3 linked regions of the Mus musculus genome follow. The protein of the gene in region 1 interacts with the protein of each later gene in a biochemical or structural test. Links are inferred from orthologs where the notes say so. Each region holds a gene or a part of one and is shown in the gene's direction. Other genes may lie near its edges.

Region 1 (3,647 bases):
CCGCAAATCTCTGGTTTCCAGGTACAGCACACTGCGGCGCAGATCCTTCTCCGAAACTAAACTTCCAAGCATACTCATCTTGGAGGGCTACTCTCAAACCCGCTCAACTTCAACGCACTTACGTGCTCCCACACCCAGGGCGCACACAACCCTTTTAACCCGCATCGCTCTGTCCCCCGGAAGTGCGGGGGTGCGGAGCCAGCTTCAGTCACTCAGATCATTCAGCCCTTTCTCGGGCGTGCGTGCGTGTGTGTGTGTGTGTGTGTGCCCGCGCGCGGGCGCGCGCCTGTGTGCAACCTTCACTCCCACCCAAGCTCTCCGCCCCCGGCCACTAGCGCGCCTCCCCTGCTTTCTGGATCCCCGCGTCTCGGTCCCAGTCCCCAGCCCTGAACTTGAGCCCGCCTCCGACAGACTCCGCAAGGGTCCTGCCGACCGGCAGCCTCCGTCACTAGACAGCCAAACCAAGACGTCAGCCCACAATGCACCGGGCGGGCCGGGAAAGACGCGCCGGGGAGGGAACCCGGGAACACAAGCCGAAGCTGAGCGCGGGAGGGGGGGGGGGGAGGAGGAGAAAGAAGGGCCCAACTGTAGGAGCGCAGCGGAGCATTACCTCATCCCGTGAGCCTTCGCGGGCCCAGAGAAGAATCTTCTAGGGTGAGGTCTCCATGGCGACGGGTGGGCCCGCCCCCCTGAGAACGACGCAAGCCAATGGGAAAGCCTCGGGGTGACATCATGGGCTATTTTTAGGGATTGACTGGTAGCAGATAAGTGTTGAGCTCAGGCTGGATAAGGACTCAGAGTTGCACTGAGTGTGGCAGAGACAGCCTGGCAGGAGAGCGCTCAGGCAGACAGACAGACAGACGGACGGACTTGGCCAACCCGGTCGGCCGCGGACTCCGGACTGTTCATCCGTTTGTCTTCATTTTCTCACCAACTGCTTGGATCCAGCGCCCGCGGCTCCTGCACCGGTATTTTGGGGAGCATTTGGAGAGTCCCTTCTCCCGCCTTCCACGGAGAAGAAGCTCACAAGTCCGGGCGCTGCTGACAGCATCGAGAGCGGCTCCCGACCGCGCGAGGAAATAGGCGAGCGGCTACCGGCCAGCAACTTTCCTGACCCAGAGGACCGGTAACAAGTGGCCGGGAGCGAACTTTTGCAAATCTCTTCTGCGCCTTAAGGCTGCCACCGAGACTGTAAAGAAAAGGGAGAAGAGGAACCTATACTCATACCAGTTCGCACAGGCGGCTGAAGTTGGGCGAGCGCTAGCCGCGGCTGCCTAGCGTCCCCCTCCCCCTCACAGCGGAGGAGGGGACAGTTGTCGGAGGCCGGGCGGCAGAGCCCGATCGCGGGCTTCCACCGAGAATTCCGTGACGACTGGTCAGCACCGCCGGAGAGCCGCTGTTGCTGGGACTGGTCTGCGGGCTCCAAGGAACCGCTGCTCCCCGAGAGCGCTCCGTGAGTGACCGCGACTTTTCAAAGCTCGGCATCGCGCGGGAGCCTACCAACGTGAGTGCTAGCGGAGTCTTAACCCTGCGCTCCCTGGAGCGAACTGGGGAGGAGGGCTCAGGGGGAAGCACTGCCGTCTGGAGCGCACGCTCCTAAACAAACTTTGTTACAGAAGCGGGGACGCGCGGGTATCCCCCCGCTTCCCGGCGCGCTGTTGCGGCCCCGAAACTTCTGCGCACAGCCCAGGCTAACCCCGCGTGAAGTGACGGACCGTTCTATGACTGCAAAGATGGAAACGACCTTCTACGACGATGCCCTCAACGCCTCGTTCCTCCAGTCCGAGAGCGGTGCCTACGGCTACAGTAACCCTAAGATCCTAAAACAGAGCATGACCTTGAACCTGGCCGACCCGGTGGGCAGTCTGAAGCCGCACCTCCGCGCCAAGAACTCGGACCTTCTCACGTCGCCCGACGTCGGGCTGCTCAAGCTGGCGTCGCCGGAGCTGGAGCGCCTGATCATCCAGTCCAGCAATGGGCACATCACCACTACACCGACCCCCACCCAGTTCTTGTGCCCCAAGAACGTGACCGACGAGCAGGAGGGCTTCGCCGAGGGCTTCGTGCGCGCCCTGGCTGAACTGCATAGCCAGAACACGCTTCCCAGTGTCACCTCCGCGGCACAGCCGGTCAGCGGGGCGGGCATGGTGGCTCCCGCGGTGGCCTCAGTAGCAGGCGCTGGCGGCGGTGGTGGCTACAGCGCCAGCCTGCACAGTGAGCCTCCGGTCTACGCCAACCTCAGCAACTTCAACCCGGGTGCGCTGAGCAGCGGCGGTGGGGCGCCCTCCTATGGCGCGGCCGGGCTGGCCTTTCCCTCGCAGCCGCAGCAGCAGCAGCAGCCGCCTCAGCCGCCGCACCACTTGCCCCAACAGATCCCGGTGCAGCACCCGCGGCTGCAAGCCCTGAAGGAAGAGCCGCAGACCGTGCCGGAGATGCCGGGAGAGACGCCGCCCCTGTCCCCTATCGACATGGAGTCTCAGGAGCGGATCAAGGCAGAGAGGAAGCGCATGAGGAACCGCATTGCCGCCTCCAAGTGCCGGAAAAGGAAGCTGGAGCGGATCGCTCGGCTAGAGGAAAAAGTGAAAACCTTGAAAGCGCAAAACTCCGAGCTGGCATCCACGGCCAACATGCTCAGGGAACAGGTGGCACAGCTTAAGCAGAAAGTCATGAACCACGTTAACAGTGGGTGCCAACTCATGCTAACGCAGCAGTTGCAAACGTTTTGAGAACAGACTGTCAGGGCTGAGGGGCAATGGAAGAAAAAAAATAACAGAGACAAACTTGAGAACTTGACTGGTTGCGACAGAGAAAAAAAAAGTGTCCGAGTACTGAAGCCAAGGGTACACAAGATGGACTGGGTTGCGACCTGACGGCGCCCCCAGTGTGCTGGAGTGGGAAGGACGTGGCGCGCCTGGCTTTGGCGTGGAGCCAGAGAGCAGCGGCCTATTGGCCGGCAGACTTTGCGGACGGGCTGTGCCCGCGCGCGACCAGAACGATGGACTTTTCGTTAACATTGACCAAGAACTGCATGGACCTAACATTCGATCTCATTCAGTATTAAAGGGGGGTGGGAGGGGTTACAAACTGCAATAGAGACTGTAGATTGCTTCTGTAGTGCTCCTTAACACAAAGCAGGGAGGGCTGGGAAGGGGGGGGAGGCTTGTAAGTGCCAGGCTAGACTGCAGATGAACTCCCCTGGCCTGCCTCTCTCAACTGTGTATGTACATATATATTTTTTTTTAATTTGATGAAAGCTGATTACTGTCAATAAACAGCTTCCTGCCTTTGTAAGTTATTCCATGTTTGTTTGTTTGGGTGTCCTGCCCAGTGTTTGTAAATAAGAGATTTGAAGCATTCTGAGTTTACCATTTGTAATAAAGTATATAATTTTTTTATGTTTTGTTTCTGAAAATTTCCAGAAAGGATATTTAAGAAAATACAATAAACTATTGAAAAGTAGCCCCCAACCTCTTTGCTGCATTATCCATAGATAATGATAGCTAGATGAAGTGACAGCTGAGTGCCCAATATACTAGGGTGAAAGCTGTGTCCCCTGTCTGATTGTAGGAATAGATACCCTGCATGCTATCATTGGCTCATACTCTCTCCCCCGGCAACACACAAGTCCAGACTGTACACCAGAAGAT
Region 2 (3,746 bases), on another chromosome or scaffold:
GAAACCAGAGTCACAGCTCTCTTCAAATTCTGCGGAGATTCATGGGGCCTCCTAGTCTCTTGATCTTCCTATACGCAGAGTCCTTCTCCCTGGCTCCTCCTTGGCATCTTGTGACTACAGCTCTACCACCATAGACACCACTTGTCAACTACTGTCTCCATTTTTCCAATCCCTTATTGACCAGTCCTCAGCCTAACCTGTTCGTAGCTTCCCTCAGTGTGTTCAACGTCCCTGTCTCACTTGCAGCCTCTCTATCAAAACACAGAGTAGTCAGAATCCCAAATTCTGAGTTTTCCAAACATCTGATTCACCTCAGACCTTCTGGAACCTACTTGAGAGCCAGAGGTCTGCAGAAGCGTCAACAAAAGCAGCAGTGTTAAAGACCCACTGTCTAGAAGCCCTTCAGCACTGGACGGACACCCTCCTCACCCCTCTACACCAAAGCAGAAACTTGTCTCTTATAAGAGGCCTCTTTAGGCTATACCCGTCACTGACTCATCAGGGTCATGGTCACCGTCTCCCCAACCCCCACCTTCTGGACATCTGGCCGCACCCCTGTTATGATCCCATTCAGTGTGGCATCTGCCTTAGTGAAAAACAAACCCCAAGGCCCCGCGGCTTGTCCTGGTTCTTCCTCCGGGGCCGTTGTACTCCAGGTTCCCAGGCTTCAAGTCCTTGATCATGCCCAGAACTCTTGTCTAACCCGGCTGTCTTTAGTCCTTTTCCAAGTCGCCTCTCCATTTGCACCTGCTACAACCGAGGCCTGACAATGGCTCCTACACTGTAGTCGCAAAGTCACGCCTCGCCCCTCCCCGGCTCTGGCTCCCCTTGGCCCACCCTCTCCGGCGCATGCGGGTCTCCTGGCCCTGGAGGGCGGGCTCAGGAGACGGTCCTAGCTTGACCTGGATCCCTAACTCTGTGCACACTGGCGGACGCTCTTCCAGCAAGCAGACGGTCAGACGGCGAGCCGCCTAGGGGGCGCCACTCTGCACTAGGGCATCCAGAGCGCGCCACTGGCCCCGCCCACACCCAGCCTCCAGCCACGCCCGTACTGCCCAGCCTTGCCCACCCCCAGTCTCAATTGGTCCCGCCTGTCTGGATATCCTAGTTCTGATTGGCTGGCCTAAGAATCCGTCAGACTGAGCGCCGCGGCGGCGGCGGCGGCGGTGGCAGCAGCGGAGCAGAAGGGAACCGGACCGGAAGGGTCGCAGCGCCCCGCGCCCCTCACACCCACTGCGACGGCGACGGGGCGGAGCAGAGCGGGGCGGGGCGACCGGGTCCAGGTCGTGGAGCTGGGTGCCGCCAGAACGCATCGCCGCCAGCGTGCCCTCCCTCTGCCTCCGGCGCGGCGGCGCGGAGCCGAGGTGAGCCGGGCGGGCGGCTAGGCCTGGCGGGGCTGCTCGGGCCACGCAGGGCCTGGGGTGCGGGGCTCAGGGGGTGGACTGCTCGGTACTGCCCGGCTATCCACGGTTCCGCGGTCGTTCTCTCCCGCCTGGTGTGTGCAGCCCCAGGGCTGCAGGCCGGCTGTCTGGCCGGGCCCCAGCAGACCTGCCCGCAGGGATCTGTGGGCGCCTTTCCTCCAGCTGTGAGGCACGTCGCTGCACCCCGCTGCATGCCCTGGAGCCTGAGCTCTGGTCCCCGCGACCTTGGCGGTGACTGCGACCCTCACTGGCCCTCTGCTTTCCCCTCGGGAGTAATGGTAGAATGTCTAGGGTTTGGTCGGGGTTGTTAACGGGCAGTGTAACTGTCTCAAAGCGTTAGGGCAGAGAAGCCTAAGGCGCACATTTGAGAGCATCTGAGTGGGTAAATAAATGCTCCCTTGCTGATGTGAGTGTCGTAGGAACTCCCCCTCATCCGCTTAGAGTCCTCCCCCACTTCTGCCCCCCCTCCCGAGCCTTGTCATTCATCTTCAGTGCCCAGCAAAGCCAGAGTGGGCCCTGCCCACCTCCTCCGCCACTCCTTCCCCTCTTAACAGAAGCAGATCTCTGCTCTCCTATCCTAAGCTCACCTGCCTTGGGCATGCCAAAATCATTTATTTACCTCAGGACCTTTGCACTTCGATTTCTCTATGTTCAGAGTTGTCTATAAGATTTTTACCCAGCTGTCTTCTCTCACATCGCTTCCTCCTGTGGTTCAGTGTCTTGTTATAGGCGAGGCCTACCTAGCTTGACCACCCTTTTCCCTCGCTTAGTCATTCTCGCTCATCAGTTTCTTTAATTTTCCATCCAGTACCTACTCTGGATTGATGCTATCTGATTTATTGCCCCGTCCTTTTTGTATAGCATGGTGAGTACAGGTAGTTGTTTCATCTGTAAAGTCAGATCAGTGAATGAACAGTAAGACCATCCCTGCCTATTATTATCTCTGCTTTGTCCATTTTGTTGGTGACTTTAACTTGTGAAACTTGTAAGCAAACAGACGCTGATTCTCACTTTGTGAAATATTTTCATGTTTTTAATCTCTTTCTAGTAGCTGTCAGAACAATTTGTGATAAAAAAAATACGTTTTGGTAAGAGTTTTGCTCTGGCTTCCTTCCACACATTCAGGAGTTATCTACTGGATTCTGTATTATCTAGGTCATGCTTTCTGCTGGGCTCTGGGGACACAAAGGAGATAGCAACAGGGTACCGTCCCCCAGAGAGTCCAGGAGCCCCATAGAGCAGACTGGCATGCACACAGTTCTAGGACAGGATATGACACCAGCTATAGTGAAGGGTCTGTGCCCTAGAAATGGAGGGTGTGGGGTGGGGGTGCTGGAGGGCCTTGAGCAGGGACAGACAGAAAGTGAAAGGGCAAGATCAACAAGGAACTCTGCTCAGTCTGGAGCCAAGAATCAGCCCTCCAGGGCAAGTGTGGGGCTTTATGGGGTGCTGGAGACCCCAGAGCTCCAGAACTTGGTTCAGCAATTTTTGTAAAAGCCAGGATTCCAAGTTTGTATCTGGACTCTGATATGTCAGTGTTGGCAATAGCTAATTAAAACTAGCTATTTGGTGCCAAGCCAAAATGCGGACCTCATGCAGCACTGCTAACCTCCTGAGCAGGCAGTGTGGGAGGGAGAAGCATGGAGGAGCAGGAACTGTAGCCTGAGGCCAGAGGAGCTAGGCCCTGTTCCCCAGATACCAGCCAGGCACTCATTTGAGTGTGGCTGGCACACTGGGTTCCACAGAGGAAGAAACGGAGGCTCAGTGCTTCAGCAGTTTGCTTCAGCGCAGGCAGCCAGTGAGAACTCGAACCCAGATTGCCCTCAATCTAAGGTTCTCAGCTCTATTTGTGTTTGGTTTTCGATTTGTTCTGGAAGAACAATAGCCAATCTATAAATGTTTCTCTCCTCCCTTTCAGAAGAGTCCTGCATAGTTAAAAATAATTGTCGTTTTTGGGGCATAATCTCTGGAGAGCTTTGGTTTTCCTGAGGTTTTAATTTGCAGGGTCTCGGGACTTTATAATTACTTGTTAACGGATACTTTGCTGTGTCCTTTATGAATGGTCAAAGGTATACTTGGATTTGTCAGTTTCAAATGGAAAAATAAGTCTTAACCTTCTGTACAAATCAAAATGCCAAACAAAGTAATTATTAATGAGTTACTAATTTTTAAAAGCTTATAAGATAAAACAAAAATCTGATCTTAAAAGAAAACTATAAACTTGTCAGTAGGCTGCTATATTTGTCTACATACAAAGTTATCTTTCACACCTGGCTAAGAAGGTGGCAATTTTATTAAAAAATAATTATTAATGGTTTATACTTG
Region 3 (3,670 bases), on another chromosome or scaffold:
AGCAACCATATATTTTAGCCTTTAGTAGGTATCACCTTAATCTTGAAGAAGCAAATGCAGCTAGCCCATGGGACCTTAGCATGGCCTGCCCAGACCTTTGAATGTGTGAGGATGGACTTCAAGCGTGGTTTCGACTCACAACCTCTCTTTGCCGCTCCCCCCGCCCCGCCCCCCCCCATCAGAATTCGCCCTCCCAGTCACCTCGCCCCCTCCCTCCCACTGGACCAGACGCCGCCGCAGTGGAAAAGCCCTGAGGCTCCCGCTGTCCCCATAGCGCGGACGGTCTCTGCTGCGGTCCCTGCCCACTGGCGCCACCGGTCCAGGTGCCGCCTCGCCCGGAAGAAATCTCCCCATCGGCGGTGACCGGCGCTGGGGCGCTAAGGGAGGCTGCGAAGGGACATTGAAGCCACCGAGCCACTCACTGGTGCTTCTCACCCAAACTTCCCAGGAGCGGCCGGAGGACCGTCCACGGCGGCGCTGCGCCAGCACCCCGTCTCCACCCACTCGGGGTCTTCTCCGTGGGTGGGCTTCGGTGCTGCCACGTGACTTCCACGAAGAGCGGGGGCCCTTAGCGGAAAGCAGCGACTTGGGTGGGATCCTGGACCCCGAGGTGCGGCGAGAGGGTGGGGGGAGGAGGAAGCAGGGGCGGGGTGGGAGTAGGGGGCGGGGCCGGGCCGGGCCGGGACTGGACACGGGGTGGGGAGGCGGGCACCGTGGAGCCCGGAGAGCGGGAAGCGGCGGGGCGGGGCGGGGCAGCAAGTGCGGGGATGCGGGCGGAGCGCGGGTAGCAGAGCCCCACGTTCAGGGCGCCCCGTGTGGCGAGCGCGCGGCATGTCGCAAGGGCCCCCCGCGGTCAGCGTGCTGCAGAGAAGCGTGGATGCGCCCGGGAACCAGCCGCAGGTATTGGACAAGGGGGCCGGGTGTGAGGACCGGGTGAGGGTGAGGGCAGAGCTCCAGGTGCGCCCCCGCCGTGCGCCCCCGCCGTGCGCCTCAAGCGCTTGGGAAGGCGGCAGCCCCTCCAGACTCGGCGCCGAACACGTGGGTCCGCGCTGCTGTGGGCAGTTTCATCCTTGACTCCTGTGGGCGCTGGTGGGAGGGGGCCCGGAGCTCCGATATTATGAATTCAGCCCAAAGGGGCGGTTCGTCCCTGCATCCAACCCACTGGCCAAGATCCGCATGGGGAATGTCGGACCGGTCAATTTGTGGGTGTGGGGTTTTGTCTCTAATGGGCAGACTCCACCCCCAGCACGGGTGGAAACTTCTCGCCCCAATATGATCAGCACCCTCTGTTGTCCCAGCTTTCAAAGCTGTAGTCACAAGAAGCTGAGACCAAATAGAGGCCACTGTTGGAACACTTCTTGGCCACCTGGTTGCTTTATCAATAGATCAGGTCTTATTTTTCTTAGTCACCACACACACTCCCAACTCTCTGCTTGAAGTGTAATGTCCCAGGATGACCCTGGAAGTCTGAGCCAAGTAGTTGGAGTGGCCTTATACTATTTGCTTCGACTAGCGGAGCCTCAATTTCCCCATCTATAAGATGAACTCTTTTTGTATCTCCTGAGGACGTTTGCAGAGGTCATGTGAGTGATGGGTGATTTGTGTCTCCATTCGTCATTCCTGCCCAGAGGGAAGGTGTGATCATCTGTGGCAGGTGATGTGACAGCTCCCAGAGGACAGGAGGCATGCTGCCCCTTGCCCTGAGACTTGTTGGCTTTGGAGAATAGAGACATTATTTCCTGTCAAGCACCAGTGGAGAGCCAGTGAGGTCAAATCTCAGGTCAGCTTGATTCTGGGCAGCAGAGCCCAGCAGTGTTCTGAGTACAGGGCAGGGTCTTAGTTATTATATACGGTGGAAGGCTTTGTGAGGGTGTAAAAGCTGAAGTTACATCGTTTATATGGCATGTCCCCCTGGATGCTCCAGGTGTGTTTATCAAGACCTTTGGGGTGTAGTGATGCAGGAGTACAATTCCAGAGCTAGGGAGGAAAGGGAAGGGAGACTACGTGAAACTGTTGAAGAAGGGGGTGGGGGGAGGACTTCTGGAAGGCACGTTTTGACACCTGTGTTCTCCTGAGCAGGTGTTGGGTCTGCTGTCTCTTCTTATCTATGCCTGGGATTCCTGGCTGAAGCCCTGAGTTTGTACGCCAGCCTCTGGGTTTTGCTGTTGCTGTGGCTCCAGATTACACCCTGAGCCTCACCTACCACTAAGCTCCCTCCCCATCTAGACACCTTTTGAACTCAGTCTTGAAGGACATTTTTTTTCCTCCCCTGATGGTGTCAATTGCAGTTCTGGAAAGCAGACCCTTTCCTCTAAGTAAGCTCTCGCTGTGGTACGTGCATTTTTTTCTGCCTGCCCACTTCATGTCACCTCATGAAGGATTTTTGGATATTTGGTTAAGAACTCTCAAAACGCATCACAGATTTGCATTTGGAATAACCCTGACCTCTGAAAAGAAAATGTCAGCCAAGTGTTGTTCAAGAGAGCATGTCGTCATTAGTGTTCCAGAGTTTTCCACATACTGGTAGAGCTGTGTGGTTGCAGTTACTAATAAATGCATAACTATGGTCTGTATACAGTTTCAGAAGGACTTGCCAGTGTGTGGTAGTTTAAAGGCTGTGCACAGCAAGTTCTAGCGAGCACACACCCCAGTCTTTCTCACTCTCAGATGAGCAGTAACAGCACCGCTCTTCCAGGCAAACGCCCTGTGGGGCAGAAGTTTGTGAACGTTGGTTTGGGGACCAGCAAACCTGAGTTCCACTTCCCACTCACCCCCATGCTGGCCGTGGTACCTGGAGAACTTCCCTAACCTGAGTTTCTGATTCCTCGTTGTCTCATAGTATTTTTATTTTTTGTGGTCCTGGGTATGGAACACAGGGCCTGACATATCCCACACATATGGCACCACTAAGCTGCACCCCAGACCTTATATTCCTCATTTTAAAACAACAGTCTTTCTATACGCTTTTCAGTATGTGGGTGGTGATTAATATAAAGCAAAGCCCCACCACAGGATAGGTGTTCCTTAACAAAACCTCTCAGTAGCCCACTGGAGCATGGTGAGAGTCTGAGAGTCTTACCTCACCACATGTCATCCCCAGAGCCCCAAGGACGATGACAGGAAAGTTCGAAGGAGAGAGAAAAACCGGGTTGCAGCTCAGAGGAGCCGGAAGAAGCAGACCCAGAAGGCTGACAAGCTCCACGAGGTGAGCCTGTGGTCAGGTCAGGACTACAGGACAGCCACAGGGACAGCTGTCTCCTATCGGGGGAGGGGGCAGTGATGGCATCACGGTGCTCATCATCAGTCCTTCCAGTCTGATTCTTCTGGGTCCTCCCAGCCTATTGCTTTGCTTCTGTATTCTCGGGCCTCTTCCTCTCAGCCCCAGCCCCCGGGCTTCTTCCCACGCTTGATTTTTCTCTCACTATAGACTCAAACAAAAGCTAGATGTGGGGGCTCTCACACTATAGCACTCAGGAAGGTGGAGGCAGGAGAATACCCAGCCTGAGGCTAGTTGGAACTACAGAGAAACTGTCTATAGAAACAATAGTGACAACAGTAATAGTAATTAAAGTTCTGGAGGAGCAGCTCAGTGGAGTGCTTGTCTAATGTGCACAAGAATACCCTGGGTGGGAGTCTCAGCACCACATAAACCAGCCGTGGTGGAAGGAAC

What was found.
Region 2: of the proteins of Jun (region 1) and Mapk9, one has a biochemical effect on the other in vitro, tested with the Homo sapiens proteins (17 studies listed by BioGRID and IntAct, with this or other methods). The link is inferred for Mus musculus from reciprocal best matches to the Homo sapiens genes JUN and MAPK9.
Region 3: the proteins of Jun (region 1) and Batf3 form a complex in vitro, tested with the Homo sapiens proteins (2 studies listed by BioGRID and IntAct, with this or other methods). The link is inferred for Mus musculus from reciprocal best matches to the Homo sapiens genes JUN and BATF3.

What each region holds. Positions count from the first base shown.
Region 1 is NC_000070.6:95,049,346-95,052,992, reverse strand, and holds the start of Jun (transcription factor AP-1), read left to right. Parts: upstream 1-770; 5' UTR 771-1,721; coding exon 1,722-2,726; 3' UTR 2,727-3,647. UniProt on the Homo sapiens protein: Transcription factor that recognizes and binds to the AP-1 consensus motif 5'-TGA[GC]TCA-3'.
Region 2 is NC_000077.6:49,845,612-49,849,357, forward strand, and holds the start of Mapk9 (mitogen-activated protein kinase 9), read left to right. Parts: upstream 1-1,139; 5' UTR 1,140-1,364; intron 1,365-3,746. UniProt on the Homo sapiens protein: Serine/threonine-protein kinase involved in various processes such as cell proliferation, differentiation, migration, transformation and programmed cell death.
Region 3 is NC_000067.6:191,097,628-191,101,297, forward strand, and holds the start of Batf3 (basic leucine zipper transcriptional factor ATF-like 3), read left to right. Parts: upstream 1-786; 5' UTR 787-831; coding exon 832-900; intron 901-3,100; coding exon 3,101-3,205; intron 3,206-3,670. UniProt on the Homo sapiens protein: AP-1 family transcription factor that controls the differentiation of CD8(+) thymic conventional dendritic cells in the immune system.